Linked DNA regions of Kluyveromyces lactis. The protein of the gene in region 1 interacts with the protein of each later gene in a pairwise test. Links are inferred from orthologs where the notes say so. Each region holds a gene or a part of one and is shown in the gene's direction. Other genes may lie near its edges.

Region 1 (5,874 bases):
ACCCTTCTTCTTCTTCTTCTTCTTCTTTTTCTTCTTATCCTGCACGGTAGCATCCTCTGTCACTTCACTGTCATCAACAGCTGCAGGTTCAGAAACCTCAGGAAGTGCATCTACAACAATCTCTTTGACATCTGTATCAGCCACCATTTTTTAAACAACTAGAATTGATTTCTGCAATATGGGTCTTTGCAGAACTTGTCTGTATAACATCGGTCACCTCATCTCTTTATGACCAGAGTATACGTACCATTGCTTTGTTACCTTTATATTCTCTCAAGAATTTCAATCTTCCAAAGCTTTAAATTTTTCAACATGAAATTTGACGAAATGAAATAAGATAAGAAAAACCAACATCTGAGCAGGATTCCAAACTTCAAAAGAAGCCATTCTCTGCACTCTTTGAACCGACACTTATAACGGGAAAGTTTACTAGAACTAACTGCTTGTGGTGGATATTTTAAAATTTAGGTGAGGTCTAACGCGATCTTATCGGGCTACGGGACTTAACATTTTGAAAGGATAGGAAAGCAAATCAAACCATGCTAACTGCAAGAGGGTTCCAATTGGGTGCCAGCAGGACATCTACTTTATTGTCCAGACAATTTACACAATGCACTATTAGGAGACAAGAAATCATAGATTATACAAGGTTGACTCCGCTATCTAAAAGTGCAAAGGAATCGTCAAACGGATCTAGGAAAGACATGTCCTTTTCGGCAATGATGCAGTCGCCAAGAGAAGATACTTTGAGTTCCAAGCTAACAGGAATCCAAGCTGGAAGAACTATTGATGTCTTTAGCGGTAACACCATGGCTGCTTTCCAAAGGCTAGGGTCCATCGTAAGATCGAACTCCATTCAAAAGGACAAGAGGGCTCAAAGGTTCTATTTGAAGCCTGGTAAGGCAAGAGAATTGAGAAAGTCTCAAAAGCACAGAAAGGAGTTCATGAAGAGTTTCAAGAACTTAATAGAGGTGGTCAAGGACGCCAAGAGGAAGGGTTACTAAATGGCTTTATATGGCTTCTTATGTAGATACATAAATCATGTCGAAACGAAATCATCTCTCTCCAACATGTATATAGTTTAACAAAAGACAGAAAACAAAAATATTTCAAACAACAGACATTTTTTCCAAATAACATCAGTGACTGGGTTACTGCGGTGAAGCTTAAACTGTATTTCTTATCTTTTGTACATTATCTTGCGTCCTTCTTTCTATCGTCTGCATGCCATAATATTTGAAAAATCAATGATTCTTGCTTGATTCTTAGGACCATATATCTTTATGCAACACAAAATAAGGAAGTACAGGTAGTTTCTCCTACTGACGAGATAGCACCTTAAAATTAACTATAACGTAGTACAGGATGTCATCCAGTGTACAATCTGGGGTCATCACACTTCTTCATACGGCATGCGGGGCTGGTATCCTTGCAATGCCTTATGCTTTTAAACCCTTTGGATTGATTTTGGGTTTGTCAATGATTATATTCTGCGGCTTGTGTTCCTCTACGGGGTTATATTTACAATCATACGTGTCGAAATACGTTCCTCCTGGACATGCCTCGTTTTTCACTCTTTGCAGATTAACTCGTCCTGAATTGAGCGTCGTTTTCGATGCTGCAATTGCTGTTAAATGTTTTGGGGTCGGAGTTTCATATTTGGTGGTCGTTGGAGATTTGTTACCACAGATAATGTCCACGTTTACAACCCATGGGTGGCTCTTATCACGCCAGTTTCACATCACTGCAGTTACGTTGATCATCGTGACACCGTTGTGTTTCATTAAGAAGTTAGACTCTTTAAGGTACACTTCTTCCATTGCAATTACAGCAGTTGGGTACTTATGCGTATTAGTTGTCTTCCATTTTGCCGTTCCAAATAGCGAAATCGACCATTTAAGAGGCCATGTTAGCATCTGGAAACCCAGTGATGTGGATTCATCCATGCTAAGCAGTTTTCCAATTTTCGTTTTCGCGTATACTTGCCATCACAACATGTTTTCCATCATCAATGAACAATCAGACAAATCTTTAGACAGTATAACGAAATTGATTAGGATTGCCATTACGCTAGCAATGTCTTTGTACATTTCCATTGGAGCGCTAGGTTATTGCACCTTCGGTGATCATATTACTGGTAACATTATCACCTTATACCCAAACTCCATTTCCAGCACCATCGGTAGAATAGCTATAGCATTGTTAGTGATCCTTGCCTTCCCGCTACAATGTCATCCAGCTAGAGCATCTGTCAATCATATCTTACATTACTTCTCCAAGGGGAACACCCATCCCCCAATGACAACCACAAGTGCAGAACAAAACAGTCTATTACGGGACTCTGAACTCGAATCTAGCGAACAGTTAACCTACGAATGCGAAGACGAATTAATTGAAGAAAACAGCGCTAATCAGCCTCCAGTAGTAACGTTAGAAGGCCCTAGATTCATCTTTATCACGTCTGGAATCCTATTATTTTCGTACATCCTCGCTATGAGTGTTACGTCGCTAGCAAACGTTTTGTCAATAGTAGGAGCAACCGGATCCACTTCTATATCCTTCATCTTACCTGGAATATTTGGCTACAAGTTAATCGCATCGGAGTACGCCAAATCCGTTGTACCACCAGCAAAAGAACGAATCTTGAGAATTATCTCATTGTTACTTGCTATTTGGGGATTCATCGTCATGATAACTTCACTAAGTGCTACCATATTTCTACATGCGACACATTGAGGGTACAGGATAAACAGGGTACTAGAGACTAACCATTGATACTGCTACCAATTGTACTCCCGATTGACACTCTAAATAAGCGGCCCGCGTATTCCTAGCGAGCCTTTGGTTGCTGCCTGTCACATGATCAAAAAATAACTCATCTCTCATTGTAGACAGACACCAAAAAAAATGATAAATGTATACCGTATATACATAAATATAAAAAGTAATCAATACGAACATACTTGAACTTGAAGCAAGTTTATTTCAATTTTAGTTGTTGTGTTGTCACAAGTGTTCCAATAGTCCAGCGAGGCAAGGGAATATCTGCAAACAGAGAGATGGCGTTGATTAAAGCAAGTCAAGCCCGTGCTGTAAGGGAGAATCCGCATGTATCTCATCAATTTAACATCTCGTCATTTTTGGGCGATCCTTTTGCCATAGGCACACTTAGTATTGCATTGATCTCATGGATCATTGCATTGGCGGGATCCATTGCTGTTGCAGCATCTACGTCTCCATTCCCAAGATTTTCTTGGTGGACTATAGTTTACGAGATACTACTAATGATTACGCTTTTTATCGTGTACTGTTTGGATTTAGTTGACTACTATAGAATGTTCATTACTTGTGCTGTTGGTATCGCATTCGTATATACTTCGAATAGTACTAACAGTATTGTGTACTATGAAGGGTCCAAGAGTGGTGCAGCAGCAGCAGGATTTATCTTGTTATCCATGATCAATTTGGTGTGGGTGATTTATTTTGGTGGAGATAATGCATCTCCAACCAATAGATGGATCGATTCGTTCTCACTACGCGGAATTCGTCCTTCGGTGCTAGAGACATCCATGGCTATTGCCAGATCGCAGAGACTGCCGGTCAAACCTTCTTACCCATACCAATACCAGGAAGACTTGCGTTCAGCATCTCTGCCTGATGTCCACCACGATGACGAAGGTGAGGGCCACAGTGGCAACATGTATGCGCCAGAACTTCAATCGTCTACAAAGTATGTGTCGTCTACAGTGCTGAACGGATTTGAAAATACAGATCATTCCTCTTCGAAACCAAACCTTGATGTTAATGCGCAAAATACTGCTACACTGAATACACAGGCCACTGGCACTTTCATCACAGATACCACCAATGCCAACACAGATACTACCATGGGAGACACATTAGGCCTATACAGTGACATTGGTGAAGAATTAAACAGTTTCCCATACACTGCAGAGGCTTTATATACCTATCAAGCGGACCAAACTGACGCGTATGAAATATCCTTCGAACAGGGCGAAATTCTCAGGGTTGGTGATATCGAGGGTAGATGGTGGAAAGCCAAGAAGTCAAACGGGGAAACAGGGATTATCCCAAGTAATTACGTTAAGCTTTTGGATGGGAAATCACACTGATTTTATTACTGCCTCCCATCAGTTTGTATCATTAAACATTTGATTTGTGTATCGTCTTTTATATTATATTATTTCCACAGTTTGCAATAACAACCGGCTTATCAACCTTATTCGCGAAAAATTCAAGTGCTTTTATCAACACAGTTACTGAATTCTTCATTAACACGCAAATACTTGCTTCGAATGAATCATGCTATTTAATGAATATGCTATTATTTATAATTATACTGCTTGCAAATCGCTTCAGGTGCTGGTAGTATAATAAAGTCTTCATCTCGAGTAAGAACTTCAAACACATCAATCTTAATAAAATGGGGACCATCCCATGTAAATTGTCGCTAAATTTTGTTTGTCAGTAGCACTGGACAAAAGCTCCTGAACAATTGCTTCAACGCTCAAACCGTCTCCATATAACTTACTTTCAACTCCCTTTAGTGCTCTTATGGATTCATCATTATTATTATCTTCTTCTAAAAGCTCGCTGAAATCTGCATCGGAAACACTAATTTCCTCCTCATCATAATCACCAGTAAACTTTGCTTGCAATCTTTGCTTCTTCAAGGGAGTCATCTTCCATGAATATAATGGGTCCCATTTCAGAACATTTAGAACACATAATAATCGCTCTTTCTCGTCTTGTAACACCTTAAATACTCTTTCGCAGTTATTTCTAAACAAACCTTCGATACCTGCTACGCCAAATCCGTCTACAATATCCCTTGTTAGTCTAAAGGGAACCAGTTCCGGTATTGGCAATAGCTTTCCCTGATCAAATGCCACTCCAAGATCAATATGAATGGGTTCACCGGTTTTTATATCAATCAAAATATTATTAAGATGCCTGTCTCCCAAGCCTAACAGATATCCGACAATCGATGATGTTACCACGCTCTTAGTATATCTGTTCCTACTTTCATACCAATCATGTGCATGCACGAAAGATTGAAAGAAGAAGCGTCTTAACTGAGGCTTAATTTTCTCCGTAATTCGACTGAATGTAAGTACTCTTTCCTCAACACTGTGATTCTGAGCGGCTTTCATCGTTTTTCTAGCTTTATCGAAACTGATTTCATCGTTACAATGCAAATTCAATAAAATATCATGCAAAGACATGGAATTTGCAACAAACTCAATCAACCCCGCGCGTGGACCAAGGGGGATTACCTCATAGGTTCTAACGCTTAAATTTTGCTTTCTAGTTGTCTTATTAGCCTTTAGTATCTTGTTCACTTGTTTGAAAACCTGTTCCATAATTGCATCCTGTCTGAGGTCATCATTGCTACCTTTTAAAAGAACACGATGTCTGGTCCCGTCTGATACTGTAAAAGTTGCAATTTTTGGAAGTGACAGACCAGATGAAGAAATGAGTACTTTGGGATCAATACTTGAAATATAGCTGCGTCCCTCACGGCGTCCATCCTGTGAGCATGTGATTTTGACTGGCAGTGTAGGCAGAGGTAAATGTACTTTCGGTAAGGTTTCTAACCAGTACTTTCCAATATTTAGTGTGTCCAGTTGTAAAAACTTCATTTTAGGAGGAATTTTATGACAAGCTAAAGCAACAGACATGGAACAAAACGCTTGAACAGGACGAGTAAATTGTGAACCATATCGGCCACTATCGTACATGTCCAGAGCAGCAATTATTTTATTAACCACTTCAACCCTTGATTTGGTTACTGGGTCAATTACTTTGGACTCCGAATCTTGAAGGCTCATCGAGATCAACGGATAAAGAGTT
Region 2 (6,130 bases), on another chromosome or scaffold:
TAAAGTCTCTGAACTAATCGTCATAAGTGCCGAATTTTTCTCAGAATTCGCTTACGATGTTTTACAGTATACGTTATTAATTAAGCTCACATCGGAAAGGCCAACTTTACAAGATGATGGTATTACTCCCAAAATGTGGATTAGCAGATTATCTTTGTTCATTGCGGGTCTTGCTAAAGGCTGTTCTAAAATGAGTATGTCCAACATATTCGTGTTTTTGGTCAAAAATCTTTACAAGGATCCATCGCTTACCCTGGCTATTTTGAAGGAGTTAATCTCCCAAGTTGCAGGAATACAAACGTTGTATGATGTAAATTGGAACACTTTGCTAATGATAAGCTCAGGATCCTTTTTAAAACAAATCGGTAGAAATCTTATCTTGGATTTCAGAGATAAGTATTATCAACCTTCAAAAACTATTGTCAATTACTTGTTAGAGCTTAATGCAGTGTCAGAAATGATTATCATGCTCACAAATTTGAATCTTAAGATTCAAACCGATAATAACGTTCATTATAAAATCTTATCAGCGAAATGCGATGAATCCAATGCATTACTTTGGTCATTTATTGAAATGTTAAAGCACATTTTGACTGAAGAACAATTCAAAGCCAATATTCTACCTTTCAACGTTTTAATTGAGAAATATCAATTTCCTGTTGAGTGGGCGTTTGATATCTGGAGGCATTATTTCGATACAAAGCTGGCGAGATCTGAAAATGATGCTGATGAAATCAACGAAATTCTATATGAGACTGATTTCAAAGGCATCAATTTTGAAAATATTGATAAACGTCTATTCATTGATTTCTGGCGGTTATCCTTATATGATATTAGATTAGAAGAAGATTTGTACACGAAGCAGAAAATCATTTACGAAGACAAGAGAAAGGCTGCTAAAGTTTTGAAAGAGAGGCATAGTTTATTAAGCACAATACAGACAGTCAAATTTGATCTATCTCAGCATGCAAGCGTTTTTGAAAAGACAAAGAACATGATTAAAATGAACAAGGAGACATGGTTCCCCGAATTCTCCCGTGAGCGTATTACCTCATTTTTGCAACACTGCGTTGTTCCTAGACTCATTTTTTCACCATTTGATGCCATATTTTGCGCAACTTTCATTACTGAAACATTTAATATCGAAGAAGTAATTGATATCTTAGGGCAATTCACATCCTCAAACATTTTAGGAACCTTACTATTTTCTTCTACGGTAAATGAATCGAGCAACATCGCTACGTTTTTGAAGGACATTATTACCAAAATCGAAAATTGGAGACATACTACATTATTGGATGATGACAAAATTAAACCTGTAATATATGACCTCTACTATCAATTAACAGAACAATTATCATTTACCTTAGAGGATTCCAATTACATGTCCATTAGAAACACAATCCAGTTTTTAAATGCTATAAGCGAAATCTTCCCTGTCGTTGATGAACATTTGGAATTGGTTTTAGACACTTTGGATCATTTAATTGAACACGAGCAAAGGGAGGATATCATTTTGCCATCAAACGCTTTGAAAGGACACTTAAAGGCTAGACTTAAGAACGCCTCTAAGACATCGGATTTCCGTGAAGTTTCAGCGGAAGAACAGCAACAACTGCAAGACGAGATGAATCTCATCAAAAGGTACCAAGATATGAAGGAAGCTGCAAAAGCAGAGCAAAGTAGAAAGGAAGAAGCAGAATTGAAAGAAAAGGAAAGGGAAAAGGCAAAACAACAGGATGCTGAGAACGGTGCTGCAACATCTTCACTTACCGCACCATCCATGTCGTCCATATCCAACAATTCTCCATCTCCATCGCAAGTCATGGATGGCTTTTATAAGATCGAGAAGTACATTAAGGATGCTGAGTACACCAGAGCCATTCCCTTGATATACGATTCTAACACTCAGAGTGATTTTAGAAAATTGATAAAAGCTCCAGGCAACATCTCTGGATTTAGAAACAAATTGAAGATATTGTTCGAGGACTATTACCACCGAGTCACTAGTAATCCACCTGATCACTACAGATCTGTCTTTGAAAATTTTATTCAAAGATGCAAATCTGCTCCTTTGCCTCAAACCAAGACACCTGGAAGTATGTATGAAGATGAAGTAGTACCTGTTAAACCTTCATCGAAGTACAGTGGTGAAAGATGGAACTCCAACACTTCCAGTAACCGTCCAATACCTAGTGAACCAAGAAAGGCAGCTTCTTCTCGTTATCAACATGGTATAGCCTCAACAACTCTGCCAAGAGCACCAGCCAACGCGTCTAAGCCTCCGGATACTTCCTCAAGACCATCTGGTCCTGCAAGCTCAGGTTCATCTAGCAGATTCCAAAACACATTACCATCTGGCCCAAGAAAAGATTCGTCTAGCAACAGAAGTATCAGCAATTCAAACACATCACAGCTTCCTAGCAGACCATTCAATCAAGGGAAGAAATTCGTTAATACTCCCTCCGAACCACGAAAGAGGCAATCTGATGAATCTTACCAAAGTTCAAGCAGATTCTCAAACGTTAAAAAGCCTAAGTTGAACGATCGTTCTACAAATAACCAATCGCCATTACCATCTGGTCCAAAAAGACAATCTGGAGGATCGAGATATTCGAGGTGAATAAAAATACTTAACTCGACACTTAGTTAAATAGCATAGCATAATATATGCTACCAATTATCTTCGATTTTGTACGGTCTTTCCCTGAGACTCTGATGCTTCTTACCACGTAAAACTGTCAATATGAAAAATGTTGAAAAACATAGACCTATGTAAATATAAGATTGAATCAAGCTAAACTACATATTTACAGTTTGAATAGAGCTTCTTTATGGGTCAATAAGCACTGTTAACACCTTTCAATCGATATAGGCATTAAGTGTAATGAGCAATAACGTGATAACCGGAGCAAATGGTCGATTAGATGTTTATGTGAGTAAAGCGAAGGACCTTCCAAATCTAAGAAAGTTAGACAAGCAAGATCCTTTCGTCAAGTTAAGAGTAGCTCATCTTACGGAGATATCTCCAGTGATATACAGAGGCGGCCAAACTCCAAAATTTGATTACCATTGTGTTTTTCAACTAACGCCCGATATCAAGCCTCTACTCTGCGTTGAACTGTACGATGACCATGATCACAAACATGGTTCGAAGCTCATTGGGAAGTGCGATGTTGATCTTTTGCCTGCATTACTAAGTGACCCTGAAGAAGGCCATGATAGGTGGTATCATCTGAAGAGGGGTCCTTTGGAAGCTGGTAAGGTGTATATTGAATTGACTTTTGTTCCAAATAACATTAGCGAAGACAGACGCGACAATGTTCCAAAAATAAGTTCCAGTGTACAGTCCAGGTCAGTACCACCACTACCGTCAGATCCACCGGAGTTACATGCACAATATGAACTGCAGACATCGGCAAGTGAGCAGCGGTTCGTTGCTTCCGCATCCCCAGGCCAATACGTTCACGGCTCTCATATAAAATCTCCACTTCCTGATCTACCTATAAACCTCGATACTTCTAGATCATCACACGCTTCAAGTGAAAGAATAGATTTTGATTCATCGATGGGGTCTAATGCTACAGCAAATACCTATCATTCGCAACAAAGCCAATCTACTGATGGGCTGATGGACAAGTTAAAGCTGATCAAAGAAAAATTGAATTATTTCAAGAACGGCTCCTCGGTACCATCTACAGAGAGTATCACCAACACTGCGATGGATTTGGAAGTCTTACAGAAAGTGGTAGGTGGCGGTCTCGAGAGTAGCTCAAGCTCAAGAATACCAACGAACATTGACGAGCCATCGCCTATGAATCACCTTCCTACAAAATCGTTTGTTGAACCGCCATTACCACCTCTTCCGACTACGCCTTCAAGACTATCCAGCCAATCTTCAGTGAGACATTCAGCCGGACAAAAATATCCGTTAAAATCTCCTGTGAGACAACCTACTACTCCAAGGCTACCGAACTTGCCAAATTCTTTTTCTTCGCCTTCTTCAAGATCAGGCTCGGTTTCTCCAACAAGGAGGAGACCACCACCATTATAAATGACTTATTAGAACTACATAATCATTGATAGGATAGACAGTTAAAAGTTTTTCTATCACTACTCATATTAGATGTTCCTCTTATCTTCTCGAAGCCTTGGAATCTAAAATGGTTTCAATCGTTGCACCTTGAATTCTGTCAATGCTAAGCCTTTTTGCATGATTATTCAACCAAAGGGTCCTAAGATGAGAAAAGAATATATAAAGAAAGAACTTTAAAGTAATCGCACAAGAATACTCGAAAGAAGACTCTGCTGTATTATGTTTGATACTATTCGAATTAGGAACCTCACTGCAGTGGATTAATGATACGACAAGATGGTAAATTGATAATTCTGCCCAGTAAAATAACTGTCGGAAAACAGCTTGAAGTTGGAACATACTTCATGTTAAAACTGGGTCAAAATGCAATACGATTCAATTCCATTAGGGGAAACTTAGAACTTAATGTTAGAGCTGCAGACTGGGATACTAATATGGAGTTCATTATATTTAGGCGAAGGCCACGATTGAAGAATGATCTTCTTGGTTGTCGACGGAGGGACGTCCTAGACCAGGATTTTATTAATATCAACAAATTGAGACCTAAAGCACTAAGAGAATATTATGTCGTTTGGAAGTCTGTTGAATTGAATTCACTTGCAAAAGATGTCCAATTCATAGTAGACATCGAATTTTTCCCATCAAGTGGCCCTATTATACCTTTGAAAAGCCCACAAAGTCCAAGCGAGAAGAGCTCTCCAGTAATTAAGACCAAACTGCCCAAGCAACTACCTCAGAGTCCCGAAAGTAAACCCGCTACAACACCCAGGGACCAAGAATCTAGTCCTAAATTTTTTCCCCGATTAAGAAGACATTCTAGGCATCAACGACGTAATGATCTAAACATAGACTCAGATGACATAGTGTACGACAATGTCATTATATATGATGGTAAGGAGAAAGCTGTAGTTGCAGGAAATTACACTCATGGATTGAAAAGCTACGAAGCTGAGTCTTCTGATACAAGCGGTGTATATTCATTCATCGAGCAAAATAAAGAGAAGATTCGAAACTATGACTACGATACCTTAGTTATCAAAGAAACTCCAAAAGATCTACTGAACAATGAATACGCTCGCTTGCAATTGGGTGATAAGCTTATGTTTATTCATAGTTTCCCAAGTGCTAATGTAAAACTAACTGGATATTTGGGAAATGGAAGATGGTCAGTTCCAGAAACAAACGAAACGAGACGACAACTTTATGTACTTCAGCAACCAACTCTTCCTCCTCCCAGGGTACCCCCCAAATGTCCGAAAGGTATGCTATGGGAAGAGTATTATTTACTCAATAAAGAGAAATACATTCGTGAAGTTATGAGAAATTGAAGGCTTTTCAGCTGATGCCATGTTATTAATGTGTTATGATACAAAATATTAAAGGAAAACTCAATATATAATGGAAGTAAATTAAATGTTAACAGACAGTGTCTATAATAAATGCTATTTTATGCGAATAAAGATCTAATGCTTTATTTATGTTTTATTGGTCCTTCGATAAAGGCTGATTTTCCTCTCAGTGTGACTTAGAATTCTGCTTCATCAGGATACTCATCATCACCTCCCAGGTCATCATCCCCATCATCGAAGTACTTTTCAGCATTGTAGTCATCATCGTCGTCCTCTTCAAATTCGTCGTCTTCATCGATATCATCTTTATCGGCTTCCTTCTCCTCATTTCCTTCTTCGTTTTCCTCATCATCATCGACCATACCGCTCATCTTTTCCAAAAGAGCACGACCTACCGCTTCATCTTCTTCCTTAGACCCATTCAATCCAAAGAGCGTCTTGCTCTTGTCCAGTTTCGACAGTTGTATCAACTTCTTCTTATTGATACCCATGACATGGTAGAGTTCTTTTGGAAAGAAATCGATGTTAAAAGGATGCTCATCGATAGAAGTACCGATTTTCCTTCTTTTCAAATACTTATCAGAGTATCTTTCAATCCCATCATTTAGTCCGTCTGCATCTACTTGTAAGCTTGGTTTATTCTTTCTCTTGTTCTTAGCGTTCTCTGTATCACCTTCTTCTTGAT
Region 3 (7,305 bases), on another chromosome or scaffold:
TCGCAAAACACATGACCGCAAGTCTTGAGGGCAGTATTCTTCCAATTTTTGGAACATAATGAACAGTAGATTATAGTACGGAAATTCTCTAACTCTTCGGCTAGAGCACCATTGTCACCACCATTAGAGAGTAATGTCTTGTATAATTTCTTTGACTTGGCTTCAGCACTGGAAACCTTGATCTTCAGCTGCTTGTTTTCGATATCTTTGTCCTTGATTTTAGATTCGAGCTCAGTCTTAGTTCCGATTAGATTTCTGGTTTCTGATTCAAGACGTTCTGTTGATTTTTTCAATTTATTATTCTCAGATGTCAATTCCACTATCTTCATTGAAGTTTCTTTGTTAGATTCTTTGACCCTCTTCTCATTCTCTTGGGATAGGCTCAACTGCATGTGAACGTTTACGATCTTCTGTTGTAACGTCTTTTCAAGGTCCTTCAATTGAACGATGAGCTCGTTTGATTTGTTCAAATTTTTAGAAAGATTTTTGTTTTCTATCATTATAGCATCTTTGGATCTCATTGCAGCAAAATATTTTTCGCTGGCCTTTGTCTTTTCAACTGTCAATTTACTTAAAACAGATTCTTGGTTCAGGTATGCAGCATACTTTTTGTTTGAAAGATGTGACACCTCTCTGAAGGCCTTTTCGAGATCCTGTAATTCTTTCATTAATGCATCTTGGGACGCATTTTCTGAACTTCTGGATTCAAACTTTTGTAGTTGTTCTTGTTGGATATTCAATGACTTTTCTAAATCCTCTAACATCTCAGATTTGGTCTTTTGTGCCTCCAAAAGAGAAACTTTGGCCAATAATTCATCACGAATTGTTCTGATCCTAACTAAATCTTTCTCTAGAGAAGCATTGTGCTTTTTAAGGGTCTCCTGTGCTAAATTAAACTCTGAGGTAAGTTTATTGTTGAATATTTCTCTATCCGCGGATAGTTGTTGAAACTTGGTTAAGTAGCCTTCATTAATCTGTTGTAACTGTTCATTCTGTTTAGTTAAGGAACTGATTTTTTCATTAGTAACTGAAGCATCTGGTTGATGTTGCGAATTAGATTGAAGTTGGTTGTTAGAAAGCGCTGATTTATTAGATGCTACTGTTTGTCGTAGTTCCGAAAGTTCTCTTTCATTTTGATTTTTCCATTCCGTTAATTCCTTTACCGTAGCCTCCAAGACGGAGATTTGAGTATTCAAGTCATTTATTTCAATTTCGTGGTGAGCCTGAGATACTGCACTTTCTTTATTAGATTGGGATTTGTCTGAGTTATCATTTGACTCGTCATTCACAGAGCTTGCGCCAGTCGAAGATTGCTTCTCTTTCTTTACATTGCTATCATCATCAGCAGTGTTAAACACACGAGAAACACTTTCACTGTCCTGTCTATCATACTGAGCAATTATATTCTCATAATATTCGGTAGCCTTCTTCAGCTTATTTTCAGAGGATTTCAACAGCTTCTGTAAAGTCAAAGTGAGCGATTCTAGCTCCTGTAGTCTACCGATGTTATCAGAGATGTTAGATCCACTGGTCTTCAGTATTAGTTCGCATATCCTAGCACTGTTATTGCTGATTATCTGTGTAAGGGTATGCTCATCCTCAGTATTGATGAGTTGTTGTAAAAAGCGTTTGTCCTGCTCATCGCTGCAGTCCTCAACCACAGATCTAGCCAATACGACTATAGATGAACAGCATCCAGAAACCGACTCGGTGGTCTTCGAAAGCCCAGCCGCTAAAACCTCATTCTCTTCTACAAGCTGGTTAGCTTTGACTCTCCACTTATTCAAACATCTGAACAATGCCTCTTTTTGGAACGCTATTACATCCTTCTGCGTTAACGGCTCAGAAGGATCGGAAAGCTCTAGCTTTGGCCGCTTAACAAAATGGTCATTCATATATGCGGATTTATGTATAGGTCTCAGAAAACTTAGAGCTTGTATGACAATGTGAGCAAGTACAGTAAACCTTTCGTGAATTTCGTAAGCTCAGAATATCACACTGATAATCAGTCTCAAATTATATATCTCTAGATGTGAAAGACTGAAAAAAACCCTCCCACACTAAGTATTTTGCAAACTATAATGTCAGTAATACGTCTTGCCGAGTAGTACCCTTACAAGGCGTTCGAGATACCTCTTCAAGACCGACATTAGTGATGCTATCTTGTCAACTTTTAAAGTAAAACCTTTTTAACTTTTTTTCTTTGAAATATTTTTGGCGAATTTATCGAAAACCAAGGTCACGTGAAGGTAGCAGCAAGTAATCCATGTTCGCAGGGTGGAAAAAGGAAGTGCCAGGCAGCACTTTTTGATAAATTCATTACATGGTAAACTCTTGGGCTGTGTGCGTTCTAATGTGATGGGAAATGGCGTTGAATTTGATGTTATTACATGTGTTACTAATAGATTCTTGTTGTTTTTAGTATACAAAGATTTTTCATTCCGTTTCAATATAAGAATTTCTAAGATCTGAGATCCTTTAAGTTCACATAAAATATATAAAGTTTGTTTCTATATTCATTCAGTATTTTGTGTAGAGACAAGAGAATAGCAGTGGGACCAAATCCAATTGTATTATTGTGAGAAGCCCTAGTGATTGTATCAACACCTGGTGTAAAACGTTCGCTTTGATTATTTCACATTTCATAAGGGATTGCCAAAAGCTCTGACGTCTGTGTTTTGAAATCTTTCTGTCTCTGGGAACAAAAGTAGATTCTCCAGTTCTGACCCAAATTTAGATCTCAGAAAACATTTTATTCGTTCGATAGTTGCCTTACGTGCTTGGGGAAAGGTTTCGTACATGCGGTTAGAGTTATAAAATCCTCTTTTGAACGACCTTTCAGCCAGTAACCTAAGAAAGTTACCAATTAATTGAGATAGAACACTTTGAGAACCAACAGTAAAAGAAATCAAGAACAGACAGATTTAACATGGATACTGGCAGGCAAGATATGCATCTTTTGAATTCTTTGAATAAATTCATTAACCTCACAGCCTCTTCGGGTTCTATTGGTCACGGACCTGACCATGGGTTGTCTGTGTCACAATTGAAAGTGGTGACGAATTTCCTCCGATTGAATTTATTATCGCTATTACGTAAACTGGAACCACTTATTGAAGTATCCTCAGAAGAAGAACTACGTAACAGGCCTAAACAAGATGTACTGACTCAGTGGTGGTTAACTTTACTCAATTTCTTAAACTCAGATCTTATATCAGAAACCACTAATACGCCTCTTACAATAGATGCAATCTCAGTTTCACTCGAATGTATCAGCAGAATTATTACACTTACTGCACTAACCACTACCTCCACTGACAAAGACCGTGAAATTTATTCGTACCACTTACTTTTAACTGTACGATGGGTGACCAACAGGTTGGTTTTAAACTCTAGAAAAAGGGCGGACCTTTTAGAGGTAAGAAATACAGCTGCTCAAATGGCAAACACCAATACTGAGTCTACCATTCTACAGTTTCTAAAACGTTATACTGCACTATTAACACCGTTAATAGGTAAAATCATTGCATTTGCATTATGCTATTTGAATGATGAACTACACTATGACTTCGAAGTTGTGAAGTTCATTTCCAGAGGAAGATTTGACATAAAAAATATAGAAGGAGTGAGTTTACTACCTTGCAGAAGTAAGCAATTTGCTATTCTTGATGAAGGTGTACCTCAATCTAAGTATACACAGGACATCATAGAAGAGTTTGGTAATACTGAATATGGTGATGTTATGACACAAGAAACAAAAAAAGCTTTCCCCATCATGATCTCATACCTACAGAATCCTCAGGTTCTTACCACCTTCTTGTTTCATTATTGGTACATTATACTTAATATACATCATGAGTCAGGGCTAAAAAAATTGGAACCAGAGAATTTCCCCGGTTGTCCTATAATTTCTCATATTTGCTCAAATTCTTTGAAGGCAGACTTAGAAAGGCTTTCAAGGTTCATCAAGATCCAAGACAAACAAGACAAGCATGAGGCTGCACTTCTGAAAAATGCAACAACTTCGAATCCCAACCAAATTAATGTTGGTCGAGAGAAGATCATCAATTTTATCTTCACCAAGTTTCAAGTTGTCAGAATCATAGAATGCATCAGATCCTTAATAGGGTTCTTTCATAACACTTCTATGGATAAAAGTTTATTAATAAGCTTCTTTTCATACCAAGAAAAGCAGTTTTTAAACGCGTCTTCCGTTATATCAGCTTATGATTCATGGATGGCTAATATTATATTCAATATAATATTTCAGTTTTATACATTCCATTTTGACACACTCCCCAAATTTATCGAAGTTATGTCATGGAATGATTGGACTGATGGTATTTTTGGAACCTTGAAAACTTTCAATGTTGATTCTCAATTAGTCGGTTTGTTGTGTCTCTTCAATGTGTGGAGTGTCATCCCTGTCACTCATCGTAAACGGGTGGTTACTACTATTATCGACGAGTTATGGAATCTACTGTCTGTTGATACTGACTTCCACATCATAAGCATTCTTTTTCATAAATTACTCGTGTTCAAAATACTCCCGGATAAAGATCTTTCAACGGATCAGATTCATGCCATCAAACATAAATTCTATGCCATAAATAAAGAGGTTTGGCAAATTATTAACGTTTTGAACTGTGACTACACTGAATTAGTTGATGAGAAAACGGTATTATTTTTCCATACCAATAATAGGTTAATACTAGAGCGTCAAGAACCATTGTATGAAGAAGACCTCCTACTCGTAAGCCAGTGTATGCATGCAGAAGCAAATAACAAAAATGTCAACAACACCGCATTGTTCAATAATATGTCACGGATGACCAATATCCGGCCGGGTGTTGTTATTCATAGAGGGAAATATCCCTTTGACGTGTCTGATGAGCTAGTAAGCAGAGCAGCTATAATGATCGCTCAAAAAAACAAAAATAAAAGAGAGAATGGATCAATAAGAAACGATAGCTCTTCCAGCACATCAAGTCTCCACAGCAATGACACTGCAGAAAGTGAAAACTTGAAGCAGGAAAGTGGACCCAAATTTGGCTTTGGGGCTCTGTTGTCTAGTTTTTCGAAAAGTAAACCAGAACTACCTCCAAAGCCATCATCGGCAAGCAAAAGGAGGGATAGTGTAGCTTCAGGTAGCACAACAGATACCTTTGATACTCAAGAGATGATATCTATGTATAGCACCGTATCATCTGTTGCATCGACCTCATCAAGATCAGAATCTTCGGAGGACCTTTTGTACAAACTGTCACAGCAATCCCGATCTCATATCATAAACAATTCAGACACCGAAACTACTAAGAAACGGAAGCTTATGGCCCCACCTGAGTCAAAATTTAGCAAAGATATCGTACAGAAGCAACCCATCAGATATGTGTTCAAAACTGTAACGGTGAACTCTCAGGCCATACAAAGGAAGAACTTACTGGATAAAATCCAAGATTTCAATAAGAAGTGGGGAGTTAAAAGCACCAAACCCTATGATAAACCTTTACCGAATCCATTCGGCATCGCAAATGACACACTGCTAGATGGATTTGATTTTGACTCTCTAGCACCTACCATTGAGGAACTTCAGCAGTTGAATCTTGTTGAGGACTCTGTGACCAAGGTTTACGACAACGAAATCTCGAAGGAGAAAGAAAATACGATCCCACAAATAGAACTCAATCAGCTTTTCGAAGGTGACACATTCACGGGATCGTCTGATATCATGGATGAAAAAATAATCAACCAGCAAGACTATAACCCTGTTACGGCTGTTGAAAGGATGAAATTGATCACTAGACTGACCAAGTTGATAAAAGTAATATACACTTTCAATCTTACTATGAAGGAATTTGTCGAGTTTGAGAAGGTTAACGGAAACAACCTTATTTACATGGAGTTAGACCCTGGTTTTTACCAAAACCATTCTTTGAACAAGGGCCTACTAGCAATATCAAATTATAAGTAGAAACTTTTGTATATATGTGTTTCGTACTTTCCTAATTTTACTTTTTTAATGCATCAAGTCATTTGAACAATCAAAGTCAATAGAAACTCTATTATCATTAAAAATTCGCATTTTTCCAAATACAACAATTCAACAGAGTATGACTGTTTAACATCAGGATGAGATGTGAGTTAGAATAAAACTACTTGAGTGTCTGTTTTATGCCATTACAATATAGCTGAAGACACCAGTAAAAGATAATAGGAAGCAACTAGAAATCAAACTAGCAAATAATAAAGTGCCCAATAGATGACAAGTTCTTCTCCAGCTTAGTAAAAACTTTCGGAATCCGGTATATTTCACTGAAAATTGGACATTGATGTAACTTAAAAGGTAGTCCTCAGTATAGTCCTTTAAATCTATCCTGATCCTCTTGTTATCAGGATTTACAGGAAATCCAAACTTAAAGTCATTGATGACATCTTTCTTGACAGTTTTTGACACTGAATCGAACCCATTGAATCTTGAAGAGAGAAAATTCAAGTTATCAAAACATACAAGAGGTAACTTTCTGGGATTGTCATCTATTGATAAAGTCACGGCCTCAATTGGTCGGTGAGAAGTACAATAAATCCCCAAATTTAAGGTAACATCTAAAGGTATGTCTGATCGTATTTCATTCTCTTTAGTTGATGTAACATTGGCAATGACCCGCAAATCAAATGGAACTGTCCAAGAATTAGCCATGTTGCTCAAAGGTATAACATGCATTCTGTTGTTTGGAATCAACCTATTGATAAAATCTATCCATAAAAGATTCGATAATGGTAAAATGAAGATAATCTCAATGCATATAAGTATAAGCAAATAAGAAAACCATCTTGCTGCCTGAAGTGGAATGGATACGTTTATCTTCATTAATTTATAGCTTGCTATCGGGGAGTGACGCTTTTCAACTTCTTTGTTTTGCAACGGCAGCTGTTCACTTCATGCTTACATATATTCTTTACCTTAAAATACTAGCGAAAGCTTTAAATATAATCTTGATTTTTCCAACGCTCCAGAATCCTATTTAGTATACAAAACGACAGATAAATATATAGAGGTATGAAGTCCACTGAGTTTTAACGGACTGCAGCTTATAACGATAGAATACAACAGAAAGTAAGGAATACCTTTTGATGATGTATACTTGTATGTAATAAGACGGAATAAAACAAAATGAAAATGAAAATGAAGATGAAGGGGATTTACAACGGCCTTTAAATCAAAGGATCATATTATTCAAAAAAGGAAGCAACCTAAGAAAATCGAACGGAGAAACAAAAAACATGAAGACGAGAACAATTATCTGG
Region 4 (6,227 bases), on another chromosome or scaffold:
CAGGCAAATAAGCAAGTAAAACGGGAATAGACCGAGGGTTTATGGCGATCATAACTGGTTTCCAAGAAAGGCACGTAAATTGCCGCATTGCTCTCACAGTTTGACAATGCTGAGGCTAAGTAAAGTACCTAGCTAGTAATTTTCAGCATGAATGCAAAAAAGGAAATCTAATATCGCACAGCTTCTTCATCAAGAAAGGTACTACATGCATATAGCATAGGCACCTGTTATAGAGATGAGTTGCAAAAAACTAAACAAAGTATAAGGTTACGAAGCAGACATTAGCAGTTAAGCCAGTCTGTGATTTTAGTCACTAACGTTTACGCTGTAATAGTATTGCTGATAGCAGAGGTATGACCAGCCTTTGTTTTGCTCCCAGACTAATTCCCATATTAGGATACTCCTACGACATCTTATGTGTTCGAAGAGAATTCGTTAGTACATTTGTTTCTCATTTTCTCCCTTCCCACTTTGAACCTTCTGAGAACTGGTCAGCTTTAGCTGCTTCTATTCGATTATTCAATATCTGTTATCAACCCAAGCCATATGCCTCAAAATACCTTACGAACAGTTCTGCAGAAGCGTACGACTGTTTGCGTTATTTCACGAAGCAAAATGGTACCTTCGTGCATCTGGTGCCTTTTTCTTTACTGCATATTTCCCGTACGTTGAATTTACCCCTGACATGCATAACGGTCTTTTCAGATTGTACCTCAAAACGTGAAAATAATTTTGTGCGTTTCCCTTTAACTGATAATCCGTACACCCAATCTTTTCGAAAAAACTTTGGCATGATATAGAATTTACAGGTTAGATCCGGGAGCGTTGTGCTGTTATCACTCAGCAGCTTTAACTCCACTGAGACTTTTCCAGTGCGGACCCGTTACCATCTTGGTACGCATCAATTTCTTACGATATCTCATGGGCTAGGCAGGGACTGGCGAAAACAGCTGATTCTATACTACATAGATCTCATGATTCCAACCAGATTTTCCCGTTAAGAAGGGTTTTTTTTTCATGTTATTTCTCCAGATGCTCCTTCTCAACTACAAGGTAAGGCCAACTTAAGGGTAGTTGGTTAAGTTTACTATGAGCATAAGATATTAGCCTCATTCATGTAGTCTCAAAATAACAATTCGGTCGGGAATAAGAGAATATCTAAGTTTTGAGGGCTTCTTGGCATATCAATGGTTGTATTGAAAGCAATTAGAGAAACAAAAATGGTTACGAATGGGTCAAAAAACAGCTGATGCATTGTTGGTTTTCCCGTATACTCGGAGTGTTCTCATATTTCGTTTCTAATGAGTGGTTTTAGAAGCTTCGGCATATGCTTCCTATACGCGACAACGGAATGTTGGTAATTCTATGTCAGGCGGTCATGTTAAGGGTGTTAAGAAAGCAGCTTTTTTTTTAGCGCTAAGACTAAGAGGCAGTTTTTGTCTGGCCGGAAAAATGTTTATCACGCTTTTACGGTGACGAATACGGATAAATCAGCGATCTACTACTTTGAAATATGAGTCGTTGATCAGCATAGAAGATGTTGTGGCTTGGCACAGGAATGTCTATTTCACCTAGTATCTACCTCAGTTGAATTGGCACTATAAACATTTCAGCCTTTTTGAAGAAAGAAGTGTCACTAGTATCAACTTCGATCGAACTTAACTGCAGGAACTACAAATATTGAGAAAATATAGCTAGTGGTCAGTTGTTGAATTTACCTCAGCGACCATTTTCCTGTCATGTCATGAAATGTTCGATAGATCAAACGATGAAATCTTTAAAGCTGTCAAAATCCGCGAAGAATTTTAAGAAAAGCAATGAGATGCGAAAGTAACTTTCTCAGCCTTGCTGTTCCTTCATAGCCTATGCCAAACTGCAGATCATGTTTGCCAAATACAAATAATCACACGTTTGACATTCAAAAACCTATTTTAAGCGAAAAACTCTTTTCTAGAAACACATGTCAAAGAAATGGATATCTTGCACTAACACTTCCCTTCGTAAATGTACTCGATGAATAAAACTTTGTTCGAAGCCAGCTGCTTCTTCTGCTACTATTATGCAATGAGCACGTGAAAATTAATCCTGAGTGCATGCCAGAACAAATATAAGATGTTACCCGGATATCACATACTTCCCCCAGAAAGGCGATGTTTGTTAGACGTGTTTCAGATTTGTATTGGATCAGCCTCACGTCAAAAGTACAGAAAGTCAACAACCTGCAGATTCAGATATAAGACAATTTCAGGGACCAAATAGTTAGTACTCTGAAACACTTGAAAAAGAAAAAATAGAATCCAAGGGCACATGAAACCACAGCTGCTTGCGATATTGAGGTATTGGGTATCATAAACAAGGGTTACAGTATGTTTTAACGCAGGTAATTGATACACTTTTAACGTTCCGGCTCCCTTGGGATTATGAAACATGAACGTATTGAATTAACTTTGATAATTCAGTGACATAAATACTGAATGTAATAGCCACTTTTTTTCTGCTATTTTCTGACTCTTCGTTGGTTGACTTTACACGCTTGGATTTGGTGCTTAAGCACCATTGCAGACGCGTAACTTTTCGGCGTCCATGAAACCAGAGGAAAAAATAGAAGAATAACTAAGATGGAAATAGAAACAGAAACACGAACGGTGATCCAGACGCAAATGAACGAACTTATTCTACATAATGAAGCTACTGTCATTAATACAATTTATGTTGATCAATACTATCGAGCATCAAATACTTTACCATATGCATTAACTACCGTCTCGACAGCGTTTGCAACTCAACTGAACAAAAATGTTAAAACTGCAACTATTACAAATCAAGTCACCACTACGATTGAAACTTCTCAAGAATCCACCTCTACTAGTTCTACATCCCATAGCAGTAGCTCATTGGGAGTTCAGAGTAGTCAATCAGCGAGAATGACATCAGGAATCTCCTTGAACAGTCTAGCCAGTACATCGGATGGAAAAAATACTAGTGGTACCATTTTAGGTCTTGCCATAGGATTACCAATTGCCTTGTTTGTCGTTGGATTGGGAATTGTGTTCGGGTTCTTGTACTATCGAAGATTCCACTCAAAAGTTGATCCTGATAATGAAAATATGCAACAGCATGAGCCAGATTCGGTGTTAGGGAAGCTATATGGGATGCAAGAACTTAATGATTTAAAAAAAGCAGAACTTTTCAACGAAAAGAAACAGGATGAAAAGTATGATAGCGGCGTAAGCTCTAAGATCACATACAAAGTTAGCAAACCTTATATTTCTCATCCTGAACTCATTCAAACACCGGAAAAATTGGCATTTACGGACAATCCATACAGAAAAAATGTTAACCAAAAAAGCGACACGAATGCGTACTCAAATTCGACAATGGATTTAGGACAGTTTCCCAGACCATTAGCATCACCCTTCAAGAAATGGAACTATGAATCGCCACTTTCAAGATGGTTTTTAACCAAATCTACTCTAATCCAAGACAAAATTCAAACAGCAAAGACCCCTACTATTCATTTGAAACAACTTAATATACTTGCAAGAGCAAATAAGAGTAAGATCACTATAAATGGGGAGGAGCCGTACACTGAAATGTCACCGATGCTTCCTAGTGTTCCTCGATCTCCATATGAAGCTATTGAATCACTGCCGTCATTAGAACTTAAAGAGGAAAGTGAAATACCAATCAATGAATCTAAGATACGAACGGAACAAGGCGTAATCAAACCGCAAATAATAGATACCAACTTAAAACCAACATATCCAACGCTGCTCAAATTGGATAAACTATCGAAAACAAAACCACTACCCAAGCCGCCTAATCCCCACTTCACGTCGGCCAACGATGATCAACATGTTTCGGATAATGTCAGTGCAAGAAGTGACCATCATGACTTACGATCTGCGAGAAAATCAACTGCTCAAGAGCAGGCAAAATTATACCGTGTTGTCAAGGACTATCAGGCTGTGTTGATGGATGAAATAGATATACGAGGAGGTGAACTTGTACGAGTACTTGCAAGACACACAGACGGATGGTGTTTAGTGGAAAGAAGTAATATCCAAAACCATAGTTCACTAGATGGACCCACTTATTTGAATGAAAACCGTGGTATTGTGCCCGGGTTATGTCTTCAAGAGAGTATGTAAATGTATCGCTATCACAAGTAATAGTAAACGATAGTATTTGTTTGATTGGCTCTTGGCGGAACAATCTCTAGGTCTAATTTTCCGGCAGTTTCAAATAACTTGTAGTTAATCTTTAATTTTCCTTCATTATATAGTATGTGTCTACACATATGACGTTTTTCCTTTAATTTATATCAGCTTATTCGTTAGAGATTGACATGCCAGATACCTAGTTCAAGATTTTGACAGGGTTATCGATGTACGTCTTTTCACCGGCTTCAGCAGCTGGTAGTCCAAAGACCAATTGAGCTTGAACAGTCCATTCTTGTGGAATAGCACCTTCTGGCAAAGCAGCCTTAACGTAACCGTTGTAATGTTGCAAGTGACCACCCAGACCCAACAATTCGATGGCAGTCCATGTGGAGATTTGAGCAGCACCACTGGAATGTTCGGCGAAAGATGGGAAGATAGCAGACCATGCTGGGAAGTCAGCTTGCAACTTTTCAGTAGTCTTGTCATCGGTCAAAAAGATAATAGAACCGAAGGCTTCATCTCTGGCAGAAGCAGGTCTTTTCTTACCGTTATCACCTTCAATGGCATTCACAACAGAATCCCATACACTCTTGTGGGTTTCACCAGTCAGAATAATTGCTCTGTTACCTTGGCAGTTGAAAGAAGTTGGGGTGTCCTTGACAATGGCCTGGACCACTTCCTGAACATCATTGATAGATACACCAGATGGCAATTCAGGCTTCAACGCATAGATAGTACGACGAGCAGCAATAGCTTTCAAGAATTGTTTAGTGGCAGCAGCAGACATTAGATACAGTTTTAGGTTGATTGGATTGACCTCCGTAGAATCAATATATTAAAAGACCATACACTACACTTGAATAAAGTTAGCGTGAAACAAGACAGACTTGATAATTGTTTCCATCCTCATATATATATGTCAGTGTCACATCAATTATTTACACTAGGAGTAACTATAGATCAGTCTATTACAATGGCTTATCCAACCCCGTAATCCCAGATTGTCTTGCACCTTGGGGTACTTCTAACCACCGACCTGACTTTCCTCAGAAACATTAAGACACAGTGTTCGTGTTGTCTGTCGTTTCGAGCGGTTTTTTTTTTTTTGATTTTTTTTTTTTTAGGCATTATTCATCTTAGTAAAAACTGACAATAGCGCTTACTAAAGTGAAGAAAAGTGGTGAAATTAACAGAAACGCTTACATTATTAAATTAATACCGAGAAGTTTCAAGGAAGCTTGAACCAGAAAGAGAAATGTCAACTTTATTAATCGTATCTACTTACGTAAATAGCGAGATTCAAATATGAGTAATAAATTATTCAGGTATAGATGAAGCCTTTCTAACAGTGTAAGGAAATCTTTTTGTGTATCGAACCGGTGCTTATCATCATCCGGATGTCATAACAAGATGGAGGGTGGAAACAAAGACAAAGCCAATCAATGGGTCACATGATCAGATTATTGTTTCTTCTATTTTACCTAAAATGACTCCTAGTATCATCAATGATTCAATGGTAGAAAAGGGTCTAACTAGATGTCTCCTGTATCTCGAACTATCTAGTGAACGTGCATACGTCGTGTTTGCAACCTTCAACTCCTCTCTAGAATGGTCGAGCTACTGCAAGATCTTCAAGCCATTCTGCCGTTTCCTGAAGATGCCAAATCATCACCTCACGTTATAGAGTGGTTGAACGTATTAATAGGCAAAACAAACGAACCAATTCAATGTTTCTTGCCTATATGGTACTTTTCGTACTTAGAATCCTACTCTAAACGGTTTCCAAATGTAACGGTTGCTGACAAATGGAAATTAGTTCAAGATTGGTTGAATAATCCTTCGTTGTTACTGAATACTGGTGTTTCTGCGTTGACATTAGGTGAAAGTTATACTTTTCAATTGCCTGAGCAATGGGCCCGCTCAATAGAGGAATTTGGGCTCTGGATCCAGCTTGATGAACCTTACCGGAGAAAAGATGTACCTTTCTATGCTCAGCTAAGAATAATGGTCGGTGACGAGGATGAGACGTTTGAATATCTACTGTTCGATAACGATGTGAAAGTG

The links.
Region 2: the proteins of SHO1 (region 1) and INN1 interact in binary tests that used the Saccharomyces cerevisiae proteins (3 or more experiments, as listed by UniProt). The link is inferred for Kluyveromyces lactis from reciprocal best matches to the Saccharomyces cerevisiae genes SHO1 and INN1.
Region 3: the proteins of SHO1 (region 1) and AHK1 interact in a two-hybrid assay, tested with the Saccharomyces cerevisiae proteins (2 studies listed by BioGRID). The link is inferred for Kluyveromyces lactis from reciprocal best matches to the Saccharomyces cerevisiae genes SHO1 and AHK1.
Region 4: the proteins of SHO1 (region 1) and FUS1 interact in binary tests that used the Saccharomyces cerevisiae proteins (3 or more experiments, as listed by UniProt). The link is inferred for Kluyveromyces lactis from reciprocal best matches to the Saccharomyces cerevisiae genes SHO1 and FUS1.

The regions. Positions count from the first base shown.
Region 1 is NC_006041.1:626,718-632,591, forward strand, and holds SHO1 (osmosensor SHO1), read left to right. Parts: upstream 1-3,059; coding exon 3,060-4,133; downstream 4,134-5,874. Other genes in the region: MAP2 (methionine aminopeptidase), read right to left, coding at 1-147; MRP21 (mitochondrial 37S ribosomal protein bS21m), read left to right, coding at 540-1,004; AVT5 (amino acid transporter), read left to right, coding at 1,366-2,736; DNA-binding protein kinase TEL1, read right to left, coding at 4,437-5,874. UniProt on the Saccharomyces cerevisiae protein: Plasma membrane osmosensor that activates the high osmolarity glycerol (HOG) MAPK signaling pathway in response to high osmolarity.
Region 2 is NC_006037.1:995,381-1,001,510, reverse strand, and holds INN1 (Inn1p), read left to right. Parts: upstream 1-2,887; coding exon 2,888-4,054; downstream 4,055-6,130. Other genes in the region: THO2 (Tho2p), read left to right, coding at 1-2,623; KLLA0_A11550g (uncharacterized protein), read left to right, coding at 4,360-5,424; RPC31 (DNA-directed RNA polymerase III subunit C31), read right to left, coding at 5,622-6,130. UniProt on the Saccharomyces cerevisiae protein: Required for the ingression of the plasma membrane into the bud neck at the end of cytokinesis, leading to the separation of the mother and daughter cells. Stimulates the synthesis of the primary septum (PS) by CHS2.
Region 3 is NC_006038.1:267,895-275,199, forward strand, and holds AHK1 (Ahk1p), read left to right. Parts: upstream 1-2,929; coding exon 2,930-5,971; downstream 5,972-7,305. Other genes in the region: E3 ubiquitin-protein ligase BRE1, read right to left, coding at 1-1,895; SEI1 (seipin), read right to left, coding at 6,170-6,868.
Region 4 is NC_006039.1:116,332-122,558, forward strand, and holds FUS1 (Fus1p), read left to right. Parts: upstream 1-2,618; coding exon 2,619-4,151; downstream 4,152-6,227. Other genes in the region: KLLA0_C01518g (uncharacterized protein), read left to right, coding at 354-800; KLLA0_C01562g (nitroreductase family protein), read right to left, coding at 4,360-4,950; KLLA0_C01584g (uncharacterized protein), read left to right, coding at 5,772-6,227. UniProt on the Saccharomyces cerevisiae protein: Required for cell fusion. Negatively regulates Sho1p signaling to ensure efficient cell fusion. Interacts with SHO1.